Saccharomyces cerevisiae S288C: one gene and its partners. Changing the gene in region 2 together with the main gene of any one other region gives a genetic interaction. Each region holds a gene or a part of one and is shown on either strand. Other genes may lie near its edges.

The links. A genetic interaction does not mean that the proteins touch.
Region 1: mutations in ADH4 (region 2) and RRG9 together harm fitness less than expected from each alone (positive genetic interaction), as found in Saccharomyces cerevisiae (one large-scale study listed by BioGRID).
Region 3: mutations in ADH4 (region 2) and WRS1 together harm fitness more than expected from each alone (negative genetic interaction), as found in Saccharomyces cerevisiae (one large-scale study listed by BioGRID).

The regions. Positions count from the first base shown.
Region 1 is NC_001146.8:245,577-248,921, forward strand, and holds RRG9 (mitochondrial ribosome assembly protein RRG9), read right to left. Parts: upstream 1,529-3,345; coding exon 884-1,528; downstream 1-883. Other genes in the region: PEX17 (Pex17p), read left to right, coding at 41-640; VID27 (Vid27p), read left to right, coding at 1,885-3,345. UniProt on the Saccharomyces cerevisiae protein: Required for respiratory activity and maintenance and expression of the mitochondrial genome.
Region 2 is NC_001139.9:12,807-17,740, forward strand, and holds ADH4 (alcohol dehydrogenase ADH4), read left to right. Parts: upstream 1-2,352; coding exon 2,353-3,501; downstream 3,502-4,934. Other genes in the region: alpha-1,3-mannosyltransferase MNT2, read right to left, coding at 1-1,351. UniProt on the Saccharomyces cerevisiae protein: Alcohol dehydrogenase specific for ethanol. Acts mainyl as a mitochondrial formaldehyde dehydrogenase and has no effect on ethanol production. Shows drastically reduced activity towards primary alcohols from 4 carbon atoms upward.
Region 3 is NC_001147.6:135,644-139,358, reverse strand, and holds WRS1 (tryptophan--tRNA ligase WRS1), read left to right. Parts: upstream 1-1,533; coding exon 1,534-2,832; downstream 2,833-3,715. Other genes in the region: HMI1 (ATP-dependent 3'-5' DNA helicase), read left to right, coding at 1-132; COQ3 (hexaprenyldihydroxybenzoate methyltransferase), read left to right, coding at 314-1,252; YOL097W-A (uncharacterized protein), read right to left, coding at 2,954-3,139; SDD3 (Sdd3p), read left to right, coding at 3,521-3,715.

The sequences.
Region 1 (3,345 bases), on a different chromosome or scaffold from region 2:
CATTCTGATAAGCAGAACCACGTAAGGCAGACTAAAAATCATGACATCGATTAACAGTTTTCCCAGGAATATTGACTGGCCTTCCAACATAGGCATTAAAAAAATAGAGGGAACTAATCCAACGGTGAATGCCATCAAGGGCTTGTTATATAATGGTGGATCAATTTATGCATTTCTATATTTTGTTATTGCTATGTTTGTTGAACCAACGCTACAAAAGCAGTACCAGCAGAGAAATGATTTTTCCTTGTTTGTTTTGTTGCGTTTGAGAAGAATCATAGCGCAATTGCAAAAACGACTGGTGATGACCCCAGTATCGTCGTTGGGGTTCAACGAACAGAATAACTTTGTGGAGAGGTCCACTCAAACTTCAGACGACAATATAATACGAGAAGATAATAGCCATTGGGCTGAAATGATTTATCAACTGCAAAATATGAAACAAGAATTACAGTATTTTAACAGATCCTCAGGCCAACCATCTGAAAGTATAGACGATTTTGTCTTTCAAATTAAGATGGTGACTGACCAGGTTGAGTTAACAGATAGGTCCCGAGCTTTCTCAAATAAATCAAGAAATATTATACAGGGAATCCGAGAAATCAAAGGTTGGTTTGTGAATGGCCAAGTGCCAAGGTAACAATCAAAAATAATAGCATTGAATTTAAAACGCTCTAGTGCACGTAACGCATCCGTCTGATCAGTGGCGAACAATACCGTTATTTTTCATAGTACCTAAGAAGACACATACCAATTTTTGCAAGTGAAAGTGCAGAAACGGTTCCACTAACGATATTACTGCATGCTCTCTATTCTAATGTACATATATATGTTCCTTTATCTACAAGAAGTTTCGTAATAATATATAAATCCCTCAAAAGTGTTATTGTTTCGAGCCCAAATGCTTCAAAATGTATAGTTTGTTGGTGTTTTTCTTTTCAGGTGTACTGTTGTTAGGCTTGAAAGGTTTAAAAGTGCGAACATTCCTTGCTATTAATTCAGGTGAATTTGAGTTGGACCCAAGTATAATCTTTCTGCTAGTAACAATTTGATTGGATACAAAATCGGCATCCTCTTTTCTTTGATACATTTCTTTTATCCGTTCTCCTCTTCTTTTCCATCTCTCGTAGGTGTTATTGTTTTCCTCATCAGTACGCTTCCAGTTGGACTTCAAAATTCTTCGAACAGCCTCGGGAGAAATTTTGAACCGGTCTGCAAGATCAGATGCTGTCAGTTCAGGAAAGTTGAATTTCAATAGTCTTAGAGCCTCCATTTGTTCCTGTGATATCTTTTTTGGTGGGTTCCACCTCTGGCCTTGCAATTTTTTTCTAACTGCCATTTTCTGCTTCTTCCACTCAGGAATGTCTTTCGTACCATCTCGTACTTTTTCTGTAAACTCTTTATTGGACAAACTCGATTTATTGACTAATTTAATAATCTTTTTGGATGACCATCCCCTGTTCTCATTGAGTAATGGACCGCAGCGCAGGCAATGAAAAGAACGACATGCTATTCGCAGAATGTTCATGCCAAGTGCTAACCAAATGATTCAGAAGGAAGTCGAAGGGAATACGTAGTGCCTTGTTAAATAGCTTACCGTGATATGAACAGTATACGATCGACTCTCCTTGGAGACTTTCTACACCATTGGTGATTGGTGTTTTAGTTCTACCATCATTTCATATTTACTAGCTTTATGATCATTTTAGACGACTGTGGGAATGTTGTTATTTTTACTAATCACTTTTACTTAGTAATGTCCCTTAAGGACAGCACTGAAAGCAAAGTAGTCAAGCACTTCATTCGAACTTGATTAGTAGAAACAAACTTCATTCTTTCTTTACGTATCCAGTCCAATAATATCTGCAGTAGTTATAGTGACTGATGAACATTTTGAAGAAGTTTATGGAGTCTGGTAACAAGCCAGAGCTCATCACGATACCTTCTGGGCAGTTTAATCTTTTGAGGTCTAAGAATTCCCCTAAAGCTGCTTTAGAATGTATTTACAACAATGCAACTTTAAGCGTACGTAAAATAGGCAAATTTGATTATGAGTTGGCGGTTTATAGGGTAGAGGACGATAGTGAAGGAGGCACGGGAGATGAGGCTGAGAATTTTGAAGACGACACCATCAGTGTTTTATCCACACAGTCTAAAAAGAAAGAAGAGGAGTGGAGCGTTGAAATATCGGATAAAATCATGTTTCACAAAACATGGGATAAACAAGGAAACGTGGCGCTTGTGTGGGAGAACTTAAGAGGTGATGAACAAGATGAAAAGGTTCAATTTGTTGTTGCCGCTGATGTGTCGTTTTCTGATGTTGAACAGTTTATCCAAACTGTTTACCGATGCCAATTCGAAGTAAGGAATAAAAAATCCTCTCTCACTGCCTCAGCAGATGACTTAAAGGAAATAGAGCATAGATCAACCAGGCTCTTTGTTCAAGATGATGATGACGAGTTAGATTCAAGCTCAGATGACTTTCAAGATGCTAAAGACACCTCTTTTGAGCACGAGAAGGAAAGTGAAATATTGGAAAGAACTCCTTCTCCATTGAAAAAAGTTCCAGAAGGGGAATATTGTTGTTTAGTGATGTCTAGCCTATACATGTATGATCCAATTCAAGAAAAATTTATTCTGCAGGAGCCCGTGGTAAAGGTAGCAATTATTGATACAGGCAAGTACGAATTTTGGCTAGCGATAGAAGGTAAAGATAATCGTCTTGGGACTCAGGTCGCCCCAAATATCAATCCTACCTTTGAATTAGCTACCGATGCCTTTCTTTTCAACTATACGCTACAAAACATTACATTGTCTTATATGTTAAAATTTAAGGACTTAGATAAGTGTATTCAATTCAGGTTTGCTTGGGTTAAATGTTTATGGATGACTTTGAACAAAGAAACGTGGACCGACGTTCCTGAAAAGGAGAAAGATTATATTTTAGATTCATCATCCGTGCCATTGGAAAAGCAATTTGATGACATTTTACACATAGATGACAGATCAAATGAGGAAAGAGATAAAGAATCAAGCGAAAGTGAAAATGATAGCGAAGATGAGGATGACGAAAACGATCACTCCAAAAGAATCATTTCATCTGAAGCCTTTGAAGAACCTAGGCGTGCGACTTCCAAAGGTAATAGTTCATTGACTGTCGCCTTTAGGAACAACAGGTCATATGTTACAAGAGATAACAGAATTGGTGTGTTCAAAACGGATGATGAAGACGATTCTCTAGAATTTGTAGCTGCCATAAAGAATATTTCTAATTTAGGTGGTAAAAGCATTGATCCTCATAAGCCAATGTTGTATATGGAAGATCGTAATTTAATTTTGACTGAT
Region 2 (4,934 bases):
TGTCTGTATGAGATAGTTGCACAGAACAAATCTGGTAAAACTCACCGGTACTCTCTTTTGAAACTACATTGCCCAACTGACCAATGTTTGATGCATCCACAGGATGGAACGTAAAGCGATTGTTCGAAAGTAATTCGCCCAGCCAAAAAAAGTCCTTATCACCATGAAAATATTCTGCAATTGGAGAAAATTGTAAAGCTATTGAAGTAAGCATACTGAAGAGATGCTTTCCTTTATGCAATATTACCAGGCCGCTTTCCAAATGATGTTTATATTTCTTTATAAACATGTTTTCCAGAACCTGTGCAACCACTGGATCCTCTACTTGCTCATGTATCTTGGATTCATCCTCTAAATCAAGCCCAATACACCCATAGACAATTTCCCTTAGAATTTTTAATTCAGAGGATTCAAATAGATCATCTGATATTACCCGATCTTTAAAGAATAGAACTCCAGTCTTTTGAAATTCCTCTAATTCATAAAATTTTTCTATTGAAACAAAGGGCACTGTATCTGAGTCCATTAGAATAGGAATTTCAAAGGATGAGAAGGTCAATGCTAACCACTTGTTGGAATAGGTGGTAAATTTTTTCGAATATTTCGGGTTTAGCAGACTATGTACATTTAAAAACCATAATTCTTGAGCAGGATATTCAGCGGTGTCTAGACTTCTCGCATATTTGATAATAGATTTCATGGAATCTTGACTCAGATCTGCATTATGAACAATCTGTATAGGATAATCATTTTTGATGAACCTCAACACTTTCAATAAGCGTATGGTTTCATTCAACTGCACGTCAGAAGCACTAATAACTATGCCTTTCGAACCACTTTGAGTCACAGTGTGCAACCAATTCTCCCAAAAAGATAGCCCTGTATCGAAATTGATGGGCTTAGAACGAAGGAATTGATGGTTTTTGGGGTCAAATTCCAACATAGACGCATGGTAAACCTCGCCATTCCATCTCGTAGTTGTGTGCCAGAAGGCACTTTCATCAGTTTCTAATTTTTCAAAGTTAATATACGGAAAGAGCTTCTTTTCAATATCCCTCAAACGCTGAATATTATGCCCATCAACCTGCTGCAAGCAATTAAAAAAAATCTTAATCCTCGTAACCAGTTCAATCACATCTTTTGCAGGATTCGGGGTTATTTGATTTACGTCGTAGAAGTCATTCAACCACCCAGGCGTAAGACCTTCATAGTAACTCCAGCAGCCACCATTGCCACTGCTGCTACTTTGAACTGGTTCTACCAAATCTAACGAATTCAACTGAGAGTAATATACTACTAACACAATTCCCAGTAGTACAACTAATATAAACAGTCGATTTTTTCTTCTCATATTCGATAAATACTATTGGGGCTACTTTTGTCCTGTCACTGCGGATTTGCAAACACTCATGCGAATATTTTACTCAATTGAGAGATTTGCTGTCTCCCCCCACTTCGATGGTCCCCACCCCTAAAGTAAAGGAAAGAAGAATTAGCACTGTTTTAGTTCCAGGTACTTCTTTCTTTCTTTACCGGTATTGTGTGGCTCATCAAAACTTCGTCTCGGGAAAATGAAAAATGTAAACAAGAATTTCCGTTTCAAAGAGTTGCCTAAGGCCCACTAATAATGTACTTATTATTTACAATTCGGAGAACGCTGCTGATAGAAATCAATCAAGAAGTCCCTTAGTCTTTGTGTGTTTACGCCATATTGCTTAGTTTCGTAGTGCGTTACAGTTCTATCGTGTGAAAATTTTTTTCTAATGCATCAGCTGTTATGCGCACTACTTGAAAGGTTATCGAGCGTTTGTAAAAAGTAGAAGTACTTAAATGAACCTTCACGGTTAAGCAACCAGTATAATTGAGGCTGCTGATTTGAAATTGCGTTTTGTGTTCAGAAGGATCCCCGGAGGCCTTCAATGAGCTTCCATTTTATTTTCTCCAAGGAGGCCATTTTTTGTAGTGTGATGTTGACATGGTTATAACTGTTAGCAGTGTTTGTGATGATGGCTGTAGTATCACCGCAGTGGATTAGCTATGAAAAAAAAAAAAAAGAACTAGTTTTTAGTTCGCGCATCACGAGGTACGTGTTTAATATGTCAGATGCTTGGGATCACGTATGCCGTTAACTCTACAAAGCAATTGATATTTTGCTGCCTCAAATATCTCACACTACTAGGATATATTCTTTTATCAAACAGGAAAAAAGGGCAGCGTACCAACATGTATAAAAGGGTTATTAGCATTTCTGGTTTATTAAAGACTGGAGTCAAACGTTTTTCTTCTGTCTATTGCAAAACAACCATCAACAACAAGTTTACATTTGCAACAACTAATAGTCAAATAAGAAAAATGTCTTCCGTTACTGGGTTTTACATTCCACCAATCTCTTTCTTTGGTGAAGGTGCTTTAGAAGAAACCGCTGATTACATCAAAAACAAGGATTACAAAAAGGCTTTGATCGTTACTGATCCTGGTATTGCAGCTATTGGTCTCTCCGGTAGAGTCCAAAAGATGTTGGAAGAACGTGACTTAAACGTTGCTATCTATGACAAAACTCAACCAAACCCAAATATTGCCAATGTCACAGCTGGTTTGAAGGTTTTGAAGGAACAAAACTCTGAAATTGTTGTTTCCATTGGTGGTGGTTCTGCTCACGACAATGCTAAGGCCATTGCTTTATTGGCTACTAACGGTGGGGAAATCGGAGACTATGAAGGTGTCAATCAATCTAAGAAGGCTGCTTTACCACTATTTGCCATCAACACTACTGCTGGTACTGCTTCCGAAATGACCAGATTCACTATTATCTCTAATGAAGAAAAGAAAATCAAGATGGCTATCATTGACAACAACGTCACTCCAGCTGTTGCTGTCAACGATCCATCTACCATGTTTGGTTTGCCACCTGCTTTGACTGCTGCTACTGGTCTAGATGCTTTGACTCACTGTATCGAAGCTTATGTTTCCACCGCCTCTAACCCAATCACCGATGCCTGTGCTTTGAAGGGTATTGATTTGATCAATGAAAGCTTAGTCGCTGCATACAAAGACGGTAAAGACAAGAAGGCCAGAACTGACATGTGTTACGCTGAATACTTGGCAGGTATGGCTTTCAACAATGCTTCTCTAGGTTATGTTCATGCCCTTGCTCATCAACTTGGTGGTTTCTACCACTTGCCTCATGGTGTTTGTAACGCTGTCTTGTTGCCTCATGTTCAAGAGGCCAACATGCAATGTCCAAAGGCCAAGAAGAGATTAGGTGAAATTGCTTTGCATTTCGGTGCTTCTCAAGAAGATCCAGAAGAAACCATCAAGGCTTTGCACGTTTTAAACAGAACCATGAACATTCCAAGAAACTTGAAAGAATTAGGTGTTAAAACCGAAGATTTTGAAATTTTGGCTGAACACGCCATGCATGATGCCTGCCATTTGACTAACCCAGTTCAATTCACCAAAGAACAAGTGGTTGCCATTATCAAGAAAGCCTATGAATATTAAAAAAATCGAACGAACTCATAAACGTCAATTATGCGTGTGCCTTATTTATTTAGTTGTGCGTACAGTATAATGCACTTATTTATTTACCAATCAAATGATTTTTTTAACTTTTCACGATCTATATAATTACGTTAATTTCGAGTATATAACAATGAAAATATATATCTACGTTGTTTTAAATTGAAAAAAGAAGAACGGAAGTTCTATTAATGAGCCGAGACCGGTACGTTTGTTGAAAATAGTTTGGACTTAATTACTGACATACTGTTGGCTTTGAAGCATTTAAGACTGAAAAATAGTCATGCAAAAGTCATGCTTTAATATGGTGGGTTTCAGTTGGATGCAAGAAATAAAATGAAATTCGAAGGCCTTTTGCAATTAAACAAGGCATCGTCAACCAGACAATGTCGAAAATTTTGAGTCAATCTAAATCAATCCACCGCCACACTGAATTCTGTCAATGATATTGTCTTCCTTTTTTTGGTTTGATATCTCTAATTTTCAACCTGTTATAAGCAACGTCAATCCGATTACTTTCGTGTGTCATTCACATGCGCATATTTTTTTATTCGTTTTATGATATAGCTGTCTTTATTATAACCTCGAAACACAACGGCAATGTAACCTTACCAGCCGCATTATTACAAGGAGCCCACTTTATTTTCAATTGCTATCGCTACATCGCAAATGCTACAGCACCCCCATCAGACCTTGAAGTATATATATATTTAATAATAAATACATTATTGGAATGGCTAGTAAATTTTGACATAAACATGATTTCCGAACGAATTAAAATACAGTTGATTTAGGAGAAAGTATCAGTACATTGCTAAAAATTTTAAGCAAATGTTAAGTGAAAAAGGCTTATCATTCAGATGAGCTTAAGAATATACTTTTTGCGTTATTCAAGAGCGATGATTATTACTGAACTACTGTGACGATATCAGCAGCATGCCTGATAAATAAATCTGTACATTCGTGGAAAGTAGTATGTACTTTTCAAATATTTCTAAGAGCTAATGATATTTATTTGATATTTATATCGACAAATGAATCTTTTTCATAGAAGCCGTTATGAAGACTCCAAATAGCAATACTCAAAATATACTATAAGATCTCCGACCAGGTACATAATACATGACACAGCACAAATAACCGACCAACTGACAATAGTAGAAAGTAGCGGACGGTGTCACACGGTTTTCTCGTCCACATCACTGGAAGTAAGCAATCTCTTGGCCAGCTTTCGGTGATCCAAATATTATATCAGACCAGTTTCATTATTCTCGGAAGTAGAGTCGAATATTTCCTATTGTATAGTGCTAATGCTATCAATGTTTATTATATACAACGTACAATAGTATTATTCTCTAAGATCGTTGAGTTGCTCATAGAGAAATCCAAAATATTGTGCACAATAAATTATATTA
Region 3 (3,715 bases), on a different chromosome or scaffold from region 2:
CGATCTGTATGTGACGTTAAGGTGACACATGGTTATAATGTGCAGCGATACAATCAGTTACGTAAAAATTTTGGATTTTATAGAGCATATTCTTCACTAAGAGGTTGTAAGAGCGTTTTCAGACGTATATAGAATAGTTTTTTACTTACCTTTCATAATGTATTATCACCCTTTTACATAATACAAGTTTTAGAAGCAGATATTTTTATTTTTTTCATTTCCATTGTTCAAAAAGAGGGATGGTAAAGTATGCTAAAAGGCATACAAAACAATTAAAGGGAAACAGGTACAGCGAAGTCTTATGGGATTCATAATGTTGTTAAGATCTAGATTTTTGAAGGTTATTCATGTGAGGAAACAATTGAGCGCCTGTTCAAGATTTGCAATTCAAACACAAACGAGATGTAAGAGCACAGATGCTTCTGAAGATGAAGTGAAGCATTTCCAGGAGCTAGCCCCTACTTGGTGGGATACAGACGGATCACAAAGAATTCTACACAAAATGAATCTAACTAGGTTAGATTTTGTGCAGAGGACTGTGAGGAACCAGGTTAAAATTCAGAATCCTGAAATATTTGTCCCTGGATTTAATTACAAGGAGTTTCTACCAGAATACGTCTGCGACAATATTCAGCGGGAAATGCAGGAAAGCATAGAGACTAATCTAGATAAGAGGCCAGAAGTGAGCGTCTTGGATGTTGGATGCGGTGGTGGCATTTTGAGTGAATCGCTCGCGAGACTAAAATGGGTGAAGAATGTTCAAGGGATCGATCTGACTCGCGATTGTATCATGGTAGCAAAAGAGCATGCCAAGAAAGACCCCATGCTGGAGGGAAAGATAAATTATGAGTGCAAGGCTCTGGAGGATGTTACTGGACAATTTGATATTATCACCTGTATGGAAATGCTAGAGCACGTGGATATGCCTAGTGAAATTTTAAGGCATTGTTGGTCGAGGTTAAATCCCGAAAAAGGTATACTCTTTTTAAGTACTATAAACAGAGATCTCATCTCATGGTTTACTACAATTTTTATGGGTGAAAACGTCTTGAAGATCGTCCCAAAGGGTACTCATCATTTGAGCAAATACATAAACTCAAAGGAAATCCTTGCCTGGTTCAATGACAACTACAGTGGCCAATTTCGCTTGTTGGATCTCAAGGGGACCATGTACCTCCCATATCAAGGGTGGGTTGAGCACGATTGTTCCGATGTCGGTAATTATTTTATGGCTATTCAGAGACTGAATTGAAATCAAACGAAAAGTAGGTATCTGACTGTAAATATCTTCTTATATAAATATATATATATACACTTTTTCACGTACAGCATGAGTTCAAAAAGCAATGGCATGGTCCTGCGTTTATTAAATGATGTATCCTTTTCAAGACGCCAGTAATTTATTCAATACAGTATCTCTTTTCCGCTTATAATGGAAAAGAGAGAAAAAAGATCAAAACGTTGAAAAATTTTTTTTAGTCATTGAGGTATCAGAAATAAAACTCAATAACAAAAAATAGTCGTAGAACAACGATGAGCAACGACGAAACTGTAGAGAAAGTCACCCAACAAGTGTCGGAACTAAAAAGCACAGATGTTAAAGAGCAAGTAGTTACACCTTGGGATGTGGAAGGTGGGGTTGATGAACAAGGTAGAGCCCAAAATATTGATTACGACAAATTGATCAAACAATTCGGTACTAAGCCGGTCAACGAAGAAACCCTGAAGAGATTCAAGCAAGTGACGGGTCGTGAACCACATCATTTTTTGCGTAAGGGATTGTTTTTCAGTGAGCGTGACTTCACTAAAATATTAGACCTTTACGAACAAGGCAAACCATTTTTCCTATACACTGGTAGAGGTCCTTCGAGCGATTCTATGCACTTGGGTCATATGATCCCTTTTGTCTTCACCAAATGGTTACAGGAAGTGTTTGACGTACCATTAGTCATAGAGTTGACAGATGACGAAAAATTTTTATTCAAACACAAGTTGACCATCAATGACGTTAAGAATTTTGCCCGTGAAAATGCCAAGGATATCATTGCTGTTGGCTTTGATCCAAAGAACACCTTTATCTTTTCTGATTTGCAATACATGGGTGGTGCATTTTACGAAACTGTAGTAAGAGTTTCCAGACAAATTACAGGATCCACTGCAAAGGCTGTTTTCGGGTTTAATGACTCCGACTGTATTGGTAAGTTCCATTTTGCCTCCATTCAAATTGCTACCGCATTCCCAAGCTCATTTCCTAATGTGTTAGGCTTGCCTGATAAGACACCATGTTTGATTCCATGTGCAATTGACCAAGATCCATATTTCAGAGTTTGTAGGGATGTCGCGGATAAATTGAAGTACTCCAAACCTGCTTTGCTTCATTCCAGATTCTTTCCAGCTTTGCAAGGTTCCACGACCAAAATGTCAGCCTCTGATGATACCACTGCCATTTTCATGACCGATACACCAAAGCAAATTCAAAAGAAAATTAACAAGTACGCATTCAGCGGTGGTCAAGTGTCCGCCGACCTACATAGAGAATTAGGTGGTAATCCCGATGTCGATGTTGCATACCAATACTTGTCATTTTTCAAGGATGACGATGTTTTCTTGAAGGAATGCTATGACAAATATAAGTCCGGTGAATTACTATCAGGTGAAATGAAGAAACTGTGTATCGAGACTCTGCAAGAATTCGTTAAGGCGTTCCAGGAACGCAGAGCTCAGGTGGACGAAGAGACCTTGGACAAATTCATGGTCCCACATAAGTTGGTTTGGGGCGAAAAGGAAAGACTTGTCGCACCTAAGCCAAAAACTAAGCAAGAAAAGAAGTAAGTAGTCACGCTTATTCTGACGCTATTATATACAATGATATAGAATCCGAAATTGTAGTTTAACACTAAAAAAATAATGCAATAGAACAATAGTGTTGCGATGTCTCCTGACCTCACTATTTCTATAGATTGGTATGAAAAATTTTTTTTTCAAATATATGGGAAAAATTTTTCACGGCATATAAAAGACTACCATCTTTCTGCATCAGTGTGCCAGACCCATTCTCACACCAAGAAGCGAGGAAGCTAACAGGCCAGTACTTGCAGGTTAGGTTTTCGTGCTCAGATGAGCAGATCATGGACTGCATTGTGCTGTTGTTGCACAGTAAATTTTGTATACCATACTTTATGATGATATTCTTTACGAACTTTTAGACGTTAGACTTCTGAAGGAGATTAGACCCTCCTATGGAAGAGAAACTCGTTAAACTTATCTGAGTAGGTATGTGTATATGCGTCTCTTGTATTATACAAATGTTCTTATTTCTTGTCCTGCATTTTTCCGAGTATTGGTAAATTCATGTAAATTTTTCATCCCATAGATCGTAATTTTGAAGTAGTGGCAAAAGATTTTAACAGAGCGTAAGATATAGTGAGAGAAACTACTCGCTGAAAAGTTGAAAGTGACCCAAAAAACGGCACGAAGACCAATTATACGCACTTTCAACACAGTTCGTCGAATCTTCACAATGGGGTTCAAGAAGCTCGTATCATTCCAACCGGATTATGTCCCACAATACCATATAACTAAATATATCTCGGAACGAACTAAACTGCAACTGGTACATATAAACCACAAAACCTCCCCATTGGTTCACGGTTACTTTGCTGTTCCTACAGAATGTCTTAATGATTCAGGTGCTCCGCATACCTTGGAGCATTTG